Macaca fascicularis: one gene and its partner. The protein of the gene in region 1 purifies or fractionates together with the protein of each later gene. This does not show direct contact. Links are inferred from orthologs where the notes say so. Each region holds a gene or a part of one and is shown on either strand. Other genes may lie near its edges.

What was found. The genes of interacting proteins can lie anywhere in the genome.
Region 2: the proteins of RPS6KA1 (region 1) and CSNK2B purify together in Homo sapiens (affinity purification with mass spectrometry; 4 studies listed by BioGRID and IntAct, with this or other methods). This does not show direct contact. The link is inferred for Macaca fascicularis from reciprocal best matches to the Homo sapiens genes RPS6KA1 and CSNK2B.

Annotation. Positions count from the first base shown.
Region 1 is NC_088375.1:208,567,133-208,573,004, forward strand, and holds the start of RPS6KA1 (ribosomal protein S6 kinase alpha-1), read right to left. Parts: upstream 3,628-5,872; 5' UTR 3,583-3,627; coding exon 3,448-3,582; intron 2,619-3,447; coding exon 2,502-2,618; intron 2,296-2,501; coding exon 2,214-2,295; intron 1-2,213. UniProt on the Homo sapiens protein: Serine/threonine-protein kinase that acts downstream of ERK (MAPK1/ERK2 and MAPK3/ERK1) signaling and mediates mitogenic and stress-induced activation of the transcription factors CREB1, ETV1/ER81 and NR4A1/NUR77, regulates translation through RPS6 and EIF4B phosphorylation, and mediates cellular proliferation, survival, and differentiation by modulating mTOR signaling and repressing pro-apoptotic function of BAD and DAPK1.
Region 2 is NC_088378.1:140,052,924-140,058,636, forward strand, and holds CSNK2B (casein kinase II subunit beta), read right to left. Parts: upstream 3,998-5,713; 5' UTR 3,895-3,997; intron 3,312-3,894; 5' UTR 3,301-3,311; coding exon 3,229-3,300; intron 2,281-3,228; coding exon 2,178-2,280; intron 1,615-2,177; coding exon 1,499-1,614; intron 1,057-1,498; coding exon 981-1,056; intron 835-980; coding exon 645-834; intron 318-644; coding exon 227-317; coding exon of another isoform or gene 151-226; 3' UTR 96-150; downstream 1-95. Other genes in the region: GPANK1 (G patch domain and ankyrin repeat-containing protein 1), read left to right, coding at 5,674-5,713. UniProt on the Homo sapiens protein: Regulatory subunit of casein kinase II/CK2.

The sequences.
Region 1 (5,872 bases):
ACACCCGGCTCATTTTTTTTTGTATTTTTAGTAGAGACAGGGTTTCACCATGTTGGCCAGGCTGGTCTTGAACTCCTGACCTCAAATGATCCACCCACCTTGACCTCCCAAAGTGCTGGGATTGCAGACATGAGCCACCACACCCGGCCTTGACTTCTATTAAAAGGAGAGGTGGAAGGCTAAGGAATGCTTACTAAGACCAGACAAAATGTCTGAGCAATACACACAGTGCAAAACTAAAGGCTTTTTTGGTCCATGTACTGGATCGGCAGTTTCCTCTCCAGCCTCATAGTCCCAAAGCCTTCACTAGTCCATCCATCTAGTATGAATTCTATTCAATCGTCACTGCCATTCTAGAATTGATGCTCACAGTTGCTTATCTTAGGAGATCTGGCCAATGTGCTCCTCCTGCACGTCTTTCCAGAGTCTTGTTCGGGACACAATCCTCGGCCCTTGCTACAAGTAGAAGCTGCAGCTGCCTTCCAACACGCCTTCTGTGTCAGCACACAGGGCTACAGAGCTGGTTCCCTTCAGAGCACTTTTCACATCAGTGGGCCCCTTCCTCTATTTTAATTTTTGTATTTTCCTCACTAGACACGACAGGGACCACACCAGAGTTAACTATTTTGGTCACCTTACATTTTCTTTTTCCTTTGTTTTTTTTTTTTGAGATGGAGTTTTGCTCTCATCGCCTAGGCTGGAGTATGGTGCCGCGATCTTTACTCGCTGCAACCTCCACCTCCTGGGTTCAAGCGATTCTTGTGCCTCAACCTCCTGAGTAGCTGGGACTACAGGTGCAAACCAGCAAACCCAGCTAATTTTTGTATTTTAGTAGAGATGGGGTTTTCCCATGTTGGCCAGACTGGTCTCGAACTCCTGACCTCAAGTGATCCACTCGCCTCAGCCTTCCAAAGTGCTAGGATTACAGGTATGAGCCATGGCGCCCAGCCTACCTTACATTTTCAAACCACCTCTGTACTTTAGGTCAGGCAAACAGTTTCTCCTTCCCAGGGTCTCTTCCTCGACCATTTTTGGTCTGGAGAAATCCACTCGTCCTTCAAGGCTTACCGCTCCTTAGGTGTCCCCTTGGCCTCTGGTCCCACCCTCTGCAAGGCTGCACCACCACTCCCAGCTCCCCAGCCCGTCGGATATCCACGCACACCAGTCTCAGCACCGGCTGCACCGCACTGTCGGGTATGCTTAGCCTCTCCGGCCCAGCCTGCAAGCCCTTCACAGCAGGAACCCAGGCTTTTCAACTTTCTCCTCCCTCTGAAGCTGCCACCATACCTCCTGGGGGATGACTCCCACCCCCACCAGGCTGGCCTTAGGAGACCAAAGCCACCCATAACATCCTTAAGGCTGACGCCTCCTACTGCCCCCACGACCTCCCCAGCTAGGACTTGGCTCTGACTGGGATTACAGGGGCGCACCACCACACCCAGCTCATTTCTTTGTACTTTTAGTAGAGACAGGGTATCAACATGTTGGCCAGGTCTTGAACTCCTGACCTCAAATGATCCACCCGCCTTGGCCTCCCACAGTGCTGGGATTACAGGTGTGAGCCCCCGCGCCCGGCCGTGACTTTTATTTAAAGGGAGACTTGGTCAAGGAAGGGCACCTGGCTGCAACTCCGCCAGGTCAGTGGTCACACGGGCTCCCAGGCCACGGGGTCAGTGTTCAACCCAAAACCCACTACCAACCATCTCATATCCTTTGTAAGTCCCCAGAACTCTAATCTTGGCCCAGGGTTCCCTTCTGAACCTCTCTGCCATCCAGCTCTGTGGCCCTGCCTGGACTCACCCTCTCTCGCCTGGCCCAGCTGCCTCCCTGGGCTCCCTGCCTCTTCACTCACACCCTTCTCTCAGGCCCCTGAGTTAGGGGCCACAGAGGTCTCCCTCAGACTCTGCTAGCATCAACAGTCAGAACGCCTCTGCTTAACCAGCTAAGTAGCTGAGGGCCCTGCCCTCTGACAAACATATTACATTTACGCTGTTACCACCTTCCAGACCTTCACAGCCAGTCATTGGCACTTGGCTTAGGGGGAGGGGGACTGGGTGGGGAGAGATGGCTGAGAAATAGGCCTGTTTCTCCACCTTTGAACTAGGTGCTCCTGAAGACAGAGCCGTCTCCCTTGCCAGACCCAAGGCCCCTGAAGTCTGGGCTGCCTCCCTCAGCCCAGCCTGGGTTCTGCACAGGGAGGTGTCCCTACTCACCTTTCAGCGTCGCCTTCTTCAGCACCTTCATAGCATACAGGTGCCCACTGTCAGGCCGGGTGACTTTCCGTACCAGGAAGACCTGAGAAGGCAGAGAGGGAAGCAAGGGCAGAAGATGGGAGAGGTCTGCGCCCAGGCTGACCTCCATCTTCTCTGAGCCCCAAGCTGGTCTTTTTGTTCTCCCTGGGTACCAAGGTGACCTCTGATCCTTTGGGCCCCTAGGTGACCATTGACCCCCACCTCTAACATGACGAGGGTTGCCTTCACAGCCACGGGCTCATGACTCACTTTGCCAAACGATCCCTGGCCCAGAACCTTGAGGAGCTCGAAATGGGATGGATCAGCCTTCTCAGAGCCAGCCTTGACGTGGTGCGTGATGGAGATCTCCTTGAGGACGCCCTCATCCTGATGGAGGGACAGAGCTGGTGGGCATGGTGGGCCCCATCCGGGCAGCAGGAGTTCCCCTGCCCAAGGCCATTCCCACCAGACCTCAGCAGATGAGACCTAAAGGCCCAATAGACGACTTCCCTGAAGGGCCAGCCTCCAAGGTCATTGATTTCAAAAGGGCCTCAAAGGCTGGGGAGGTCAAACAGAAGAGGCACCACTCCTATTGCTCCCGATGCTCTGGCCTGATTAGGCCCAAAGGGATGCCCAGGCATGGCCAGGCTGAGTCAACCTCAGGCTCCGGTTGAGACCCAGAGACCTGCCCCAGGTCTGCCTGTGGGGCTTCCCTCCCCCTGCTGCTTTAGGGTTGCCACAATAGGAAGTAGGTTTGTTCTCATATGGGGAGGTAGAGCTGGGCCTTCGTTCCTGGTCAGGATGGGATGAGGGGATCCCTCTGGTCAGTAGGACAGGGCTGACGTGCACAAAGACCCAAGAGTCACCCAAACTCCCCCATCAACTTGGTAAGTGCTAGCCTGGGGCAGGTCAGAATTAAGGCCAGAGACTGCATGGCTCATCTTCCCAAACTTCCTTCATACAAACCTACTAGAAGCCCCTTGCCACGTCCTAGCCATTCCAGGACTCTACCCTCCCTCTAATCTGCTGCCATTGCCTTGAAGCCCTGAAGTACCTCCTCACTTACCCAGGAAGCAAGTCTGGGCAGGGTCCAGTCACCCCGCAGGGCCAGGCCTGGGCCAGGACAGCCCAAAGCCAGATTACGCTAAGCTGGCTTCCCAGGCACCTGCTGCGAGGGACACAGCCAGGCCAGGACCAGACATCTGGGTACACTCACCGAGTCCCGCTGGGGGCCAGAGCCAGGGCCAGGGACAGGCAGAGAGGTCTGGCTGATCCTGGGCCGCTGCTTCCTGGGCAGCCAGGGGAGCAGGGCCCAGAGCCGCAGACGGGGCGGCTTGGGATCCTGCTCCATCCGCCCAGCAGGGCCACGGCACCATGGCAGGAGCAGGCAGAGTCCGGGGCTGCCGCGGTGGTGGCCGGGACCAAGGCGGATGTGCAGGGTGAGGGCGGGGGCTGGGCCCGGCCCAAGGGAGCCAATCACTCAGGGCCTGTGGTTTCCCAGCACCAGGCCTACACCCTCACCACGTTCCCTTCCTCTCTCTCCCCCACTCCTCAGTGCCTGAGGGCTGCCCTCTGGCCATTCCCCCATCCTCCCTGTGGGTCTGCAAAGGGAAAGCCCTCTGCCAGTGCAGCTGCTGAGCAGACAGGTACCCAACAGCAGAGAGGTACCCAACAGCAAACAGGTAACCAACAGGCAAAGACAGGTGCCTCATATGTGGAGGCAGATGAAGAGAGACACTCAACAGGCAGAAGCAGGCACCCAACAGGTGGAAACAGATGAGAATGGCATCCATCATGTCTGTAATCCTAGCACTCTGGGAGGCCGAGGCAGGCAGATCATGAGGTCAGGAGATCGAGACCATCCTGGCTAACACAATGAAACCCCGTCTCTACTAAAAATACAAAAAATTAGCTGGGTGTGGTGGCGGGCGCCTGTAGTCCCAGCTACTCGGGAGGCTGAGGCAGGAGAATGGTGTGAACTCGGGAGGTGGAGCTTGCAGTGAGCCGAGATCATGCCACTGCACTCCAGCCTGGGCAACAGAGCGAGACTCTGTCTCAAAAAAAAAAAAGAAGAATGGCATCCAACAGGCAGGAGCAGGAGAGAACACATACCCAACAGGCAGGGATGGATAAGGACACACACCCAACAGGCAGAGGCAGGAGAGAACACATACCCAACAGGCAGGGATGGATAAGGACACGCACCCAACAGGCAGAGGCAGGAGGAATTCATATCCAATAGAAAACAGATGGAGATGTGTACCCAATAAGGGGAAGCAGGAGGGGACTCATATCTAACAGACAGAGGTGGACAGAGACTCATCCCCAATGTGTGTAGGCAGATAAGGATACAAACCCAACAGGCAGAGACAGATGGGGCACAAGCCCAACAGGCAGAGACAGAAGGGGACATGTACCCAATAGGTAAAGACAGATGAGGACATGAACCCAACAGGCAAAGGCAGAAGGAACACATCTCCAATAGGCAGGGACAGAAGAGAATTCCAACCCAACAGGCAATGACAGAAGGGGACATAAACCCAACAGGCAGGCTGGGCACGGTGGCTCACGCCTGTAATCCCAGCACTTTGGGAGGCCAAGGCAGGTGGATCACGAGGTCAGGAGATCGAGATCATCCTGGCCTACATGGTGAAACCCTGTCTCTACTAAAAATACAAAAATTAGCTAGGCGTGGTGGCAGGCGCCTGTAGTCTCAGCTACTTGGGAGGATGAGGCTGGAGAATGGCGTGAACCCGGGAGGCAGAGGTTGCAGTGAGCCAAGATCGCGTCAGTGCACTCCAGCCTGGACAACAGAGCGAGACTGCCTTGGGAAAAAAAAAAAAAAAACCTCAACAGGCAATGACAGAGGGGGACATGTATCCAACAGGCAGAGACAGATGGTGACACGAACCCAACAGGCAATGACAGAAGGGGACATAAACCCAACAGGCAGAGACAGAAGGGGACAGGTATCCAATAGGCAGAGACAGAAGGGGACATGTATCCAATAGGCAGAGACAGATGAAGACATAAACCCAACAGGCAGAGACAGAAGGGGACATGAACAACAGGCACCTAACATGTGACACGTGCCCAACAGGTGAAGTCAGGCACTTATCAAGTGGCGAGAGAGATTGGAACCCAACCACAGACACAGGAAGGCAGCAAACAGAGACAGCAGGAGAGGCAACGAGCCCCAAGCAGACTGACAATACCTAGGGCAGACAATGGGTCTGACACCTGGCAGATACACAGGCAGGCAGCAGGGCAGGGATCCCCAGGAAGGGGTTAAGGGCGGAACTGTGGGTTCTTGCTGCTGTACCTGGGGTGGGAAAAGAGATGAGGGGATACAATCTGCAAACTGTCACCATTCAGGAGAGGACTCTGGTATTTCTTACAGACCCACCTCTGAGGTTTTCCATTTCCCTAGGATTTTCCTCCTATGCCAGGACCTGAGGAGGGCCCAGATAGTGGCTGAGAGGACTATCTCCTGAGTGCAATCTGATGTCTTTGACTCTGATCATATCCTAAAAACTGGTATCCTCATTCCAGGAACAGGGAACTGAGGCTCAGAAGACAGTGACTCACCGAGGCTCAAAGCAAACAGTGGCAGAGCTAGCTTGGACCCAGGTGCCTCCCTG
Region 2 (5,713 bases), on another chromosome or scaffold:
AATCTGGGGAGGGTGGGCTGGGCCATGAGGGCCCCTGGAGTCCAACACACCATCACCTTCCCTTCCCCAACCGCAAGCACCAGCAGACTAGCTCATGGCCTTTTCTTCCACTTTATTTCATATTCCCACCACAATAATGACTCCTTTAATTTAAACTAAAAACCATACAGGGTTCCTGAAAGGGTGGCAAAAAGGAAAGGAAGTGCAGGACAGGTGGGGTAGGGAATCAGCGAATCGTCTTGACTGGGCTCTTGAAGTTGCTGGCGGCTTGGAGCTGCAGCTGGTAGGCCATCGGATGAATCTTGAAACCGTAGAGCCTGGACCAGGGCAGAGGTCAGAGAGGCAGTAGCATGAGCCCCATCCAGACCCTGCTAGTCACCTGCATTCCCACCTCCCCACCTGAACTCCTCCATGGACCTGCTCAGAGCTTAAGCCTAGTGGTTCCCAACTTCTCAGCTCAAGAACATTCTATGATAAGGTAACTGAAGCACAGACAATCAAATAACTTTCCCACAGTCACTCCGCAGGGAGATGCCGATTCTGGGAGAAGCAGGCCTCAAGAAAGGGCCATGCCCCATCCTCCCCTCTCTCTGGGGGATCTTAGGCCTTTCCTTTGACCCTTAATGACTCTCCCTGCTCCCTACCTGGGCACAAACTGGTTGGCGGGTCTCTTGGGCCGGTACTCGGGATGCACCATGAAGAGCATGTGAGGGAAACCAGTGCCAAAGTAGGCGCCATCCGTGTGATGGTGTCTCGATGACTTGGGTGTGTACACATCCATGCACTTGGGGCAGTAGAGCTTCACCATGGCTTCACCTGGGATGTCTGAAAGGCCTGGGAGACAGCCAGACTCAGCAGGCCAGGTATCTCCCTGTTCCTACTTAACCTCCCCTCAGGACTCAGGCCCCAAGATGCTGAGCCCTAACTCCTTCCCGTAAGACTGCCACAAGGTGCCTTCCTTTCCCTTCTTCAACACTCACCGATGGGAAGCATTGGCTGGTTCTCACAGTACACACGAGGACAGTAACCAAAGTCTCCCTGCTGGTACTTTTCCAACTGAAGTGAATAAAATGGAAGGGGTTGGCAGGTAGGTGTGAAGAGAAGAGGCAACTCCCTTCTCAGCTCAACCCATATCACTCTGTCCCCCACTCCTCCCACCTCTGTCCAGAGGCCCCTTCTCTGGCCCAGATGGGCTCTCAAACTCCTATGTTGCCTTTCTTCCAGTTAGGCAGGCTACAAACCATCAGAGCCATTTGTTGTTTGTTCCCTGAGGAAGAGGCAGTCTATCACAACTCTCTGTTCAAGGACTGTCTCCCTCCCTGAAAATTATCCCTTCAGGATGACCCCCAATCAGAATTCAATTCCCAGGCCCAAGCCTGGGGTTCTTCTCCTCTTCTCAGCCAGTTTCCTTAAACAAGGCTTAAACATGACTTCTTGCTGCAGGAACCTGTGTCCCTTACTGCTCAGAAGGAGGCAATTAGGAGCAGAGAGGCCTCACCATCTGGGCAATGCCACGGTTGGTAAGGATGTAGCGGGCGTGGATCAATCCATAAAGCATCTCGGCAGCCTGCTCAATCAGGTCACTCTGGTTGGGGTTGTCTTCCAGTTCTTCATCTGAAACACAGCCCGGCCAAATGCAACCACTTGTTTTTCAGCTTTCCTAGGTGCCCTGCCCATATCCAGGGGGTGCGGGCTATTCAGTTCGCCTGGCACCTACTTTTGGGCCTTACCCCATCCAACATCTGGGCATGTGACCCAGAAACCTGGGCTTCTGACCCTTGCGCCAACCCAAGACAGCTCTGTCTTCTCTTCACACCTCTTTAGCCTCCGCTCCCCACTCTCCCTCCCAGCTCCCTCCCCGATACATAACTGCAACAATGTCAATGCAAAAGATGAAACTCTAGACTGGAAGGTGCAAAGCAGGAGAAATAGCAAACCAGACCCATGAGGAAACATATTTTGGAAAACATCTGAATTGTGGATTTAGAAAACATGGGAACAAGTGATATACGTCACAAAACTAGACACAGTCAGGTGGAGGATCAAAATAAAGCATGAATTTGGGGTTAAAGAAATCAGAGAACCAAAGGAAATTTCAAAATTCAAGTAAGTGAATATAGATTTGAAGAGAAAAAAAGTGCATGCACACACACAAAACAACCCTGAGGGTGCCTCACCAGGCTCCAGGTCCAAGATCATGTCTAGAGCTTGTCGATAGTGAGGAACCTGCTCATTGAGTCCAGTAAGATTAAATTTGTCCTGGATGTAGTCTTCATCCACCTGTTGGGACATGGAAGCCAAGAGGGAACCCATATCAAAATCCCCATCTTTGACCTGGGCAAAATGCTCTAACTGATGCCTTATCATCAACACAACTGCATCTGTTCCGCTTGTTTCTCACTCCCAACTCAGCAGAAGTACTTGCGTCTCTCCCTAGTTCACCTATACTCCCTCCCATAAAGCTTTGGCTTTTCTTTTCTAAGGATAAGCAGGTACAGCAATCTTTTTCTTAGACATTCTTTTCAAGATCTCTGTCCCTACTCCTGTACTCCATCTCTAGGAACCAGTTTTGTCCTCTCAGCTGGCTGAGGAGGATGGAAGCTGAACGGCATGGTTTCTGAACAAAACATTTCAATACGTAGCATTTCAATTTTCCTAACAGCCAGCTGAGACAGGTACTAGCAGTACAACTTTAGTAATAAAAGATACAGGCTGGGCGCAATGGCTTATGCCTGTAATCCCAGCACTTTGGGAGGCTGAGGCGGGCAGATCACCTGAGGTCTGGAGTTTGAGACCAGCCTGGCCAACATGGTGAAACCCTGTCTCTACTAAAAATCCAAAAATTAGCCGGGCGTGGTGGCGGGTACTTGTAATCCCAGCTACTTGGGTGGCTGGAGCAGGAGAATCGCTTGAACCTGGGGGGCAGAGGTCGCAGTGAGCCGAGATCGCACCACTACACTCCAGCCTGGGCGACACAGTGAGACCCAGTCTCAAAAAAAAGATAAAGAAAAAGACACAAATTGCCTGCTGGAGGGTGGCAGAGTCGAAACTTGGGCCCCAGTTTTGCCACTTTAGCACAGGTTCGTCGGGGGTTATTGAGGGGACTCTTCGTTGATGGGAAGTTTTCAAGTAGTATGTAAGAGAACAGTGTAGAAGTGGAATACGTGAAGGAACATCTGGTGGGAAGATATGTGAAGCCAGCAAGTAGGGAGGTCGAAGAGAACTCACTTCACAGAAGAATTCATTGCCACGGAGCCCACAGAACCAGGAAATCCAGGACACCTCCTCTGAGCTGCTCATCTTCACGTCAGCTGAAAAAAAGAGTGTCAGTAAAGCTCAAGTTCTCCTTCCCTGCCTCGGGTATCCTCCCTCCTCCCACATTAGAACCACCCTTTCTTAAAGGATCCCAAACTCTGAAGCACTCCTCTCCAACTCCTCCAATTTACATCTCAGTTCCCTTTTCTTTGACGTTAAACATTCTTTGGGGTCCCACCACTTGAAAGAAGCCAACAGATACTTTGACCCACCAGCCCGACCCACGTCCCTGGAGCTCCCGAAAGCCAGGGCCCTCTCTTCTCTGTGTCAACTCCGGCAGGGACCTCGACTCAGGCTCCGTACCAATGCAAGTCTCTGCACGACCCCGGCGCCTTTCCCAAGGATTTCCAAGTTTATCACTCTCAAGCAAGAATCGGGCGCCTCCTTTTCTCAAGGGTTGGGGGCGACTGTCAGGTCCCTTTCACCGGATTCCACACATCCCCCCTCCGCTCCTCAAGCCACCTCTCCCTCCTTGCCGGACCTGGTTGCTTCCTCCCCCCGCCCCCATATCAAAGTGCGGAGACCCATGTGCGGCTCCCAGCGACAAGCGACTAGGAGCAGCGAAGACCTCAGACTCACCAGCTGGACGGGGACCAGGACTGGGGTGGGGTAGGGAAGTTGCTACTTCGAAGGAACGGCGGCGACCGCTACAGCGCAGGCCGCGGACCCGACCGCGGCAGGCGAAGTGGGGTGGGGGGAGTGGAAATTGGGGAGGGTGGGGAAGAGGGCAACACGCAAGCGCCAAGGGTCAGGTGCCGCGGTGGATGCCGGGACGCGGAGTCCCCGGTAGAGAGAGAAACCGGCTAAGTGAGGGAAAGCGAACTACCAATCCCAGGATGACCCGCGCACGACCTGGCTGTCACGAAGCCCCGGAGGAGGACGCTTGCGGGCGGGGCGCAACGAGAAGCCACCGGAAGCGGAAACCAGGTATGGCGTTCGGGGCCTGGGAGCCTGGGCAATACAGTTGTGTGCTCACTGGGCGAAGAAGCTGACTTAGGGCGGGGAAAGGAGGGAGCCAGGCTGGACCCCTCCTCGCAGCTCTCCTCACAGTTGCCCTCTAGTCCCGACGCGGTGCTGCTTCCCTGGGGACTGGCCTATCCTTGGCCAATGCGCTGGGTCCTTATTGCCTGTTGGGCCCCTAGTGCGAGTCAGTCCCGCCAGAGACCCTTGACGGGCCTTCTGTTTTACTCCGGGCTCCGGCCTCATGAGGCGAGAGGTGCGGCTTGGCTCCGTGCGTAGGGACTTGGGTTGGGAGGGCTGGGCTGGGCTGGGCTGGGCTGGGCTGGGCTGGGCTGGGCTGGGCTGGGTGAGAACCAGAACGGCCCAGTGCGCTAACCTGAGGTGGTGCCAGCCATTCTGCTCGTCCCCTTGCACTTCTCCATTTCCCCTTAGTCTCTAAGTGTGACCTTCGAACCCTGGTCAGAGTAATGGTGAGGGGCAGGCGTGACGTTATTTCATTACACGGCTTCTCGGCATTCCACAGGTTTCCCTCCGCCTCCTGAGGGCCTTTCCTAACCCAGAGAGTGGATTCCTAGCTCCAGAAAATGGGCTTGGAGCGGGGGCCACGTAGAGGAAGGCGAAGGGCATTGTGGGGGCGTTATGTAAAAGTAGGACCCCAACCGACAGATCCTAGCGCTCGCGCCACCTGGGCGCGCGGAGCTTTGCTCGTTTACTATTGGAAAAGTTCCAGCGCGGGAAACTGAACCGGGAGCTTTGCGCACGCCTGAGCCATCAAGTAATGTGGGTGGTGGTTTTTGTTGTTGTTGTCGCCACGCATGCGTCTCCGTGCCGTGTGGCTATTTGATTGTGTCAACTCTGCTGATCAGAATAGCGCCATTTTGCGTTACGGAAGCTACACGGCAACACGTATAGGAGCCTCTCCCCGAGATCTTCTAGGGAGTGACCCGTCTATTTTTGTTTGGGAAGAGGAAACTCCGAAATGGGATCACGGAAGACTTAAAGGGCCAGGTTTGATTTTTTTTTTTCCTACTGGTATGTCTGTTTTACGGGGTGAGAAAGTGATTTCAGAAAGAGGCTGGTATTTATTGTTGGTAAGGATGGGGGTGGGGGCCGGACGCAGGACCTCTGGACGACTGTCTCATGGAGTTTGATTAATCTTTACTAAGGAGCAAAGTCGGTATTGTAGGGTTTCGTGTTTTTACGCATATACTCTCTCCCTTAGACCCTGCAGAGTCTTAAGTTGTGGGGTCACTTTAGCGGCAGGAAAGTGTTTTTGACTACTTTTTCTCATCCCAGCAGGTCCCTGAGGCTCTGGTTGCTACAGAGTCACCAGGAGCTTGGCTTGCTTGTCGCATCCTTCCCTTGCCTGGTATCATTTTCTCAGTTCTCCCAAAAGCCATGTCCCAGCCCTTCCTCATCACCTTCACCCCAGCCACTG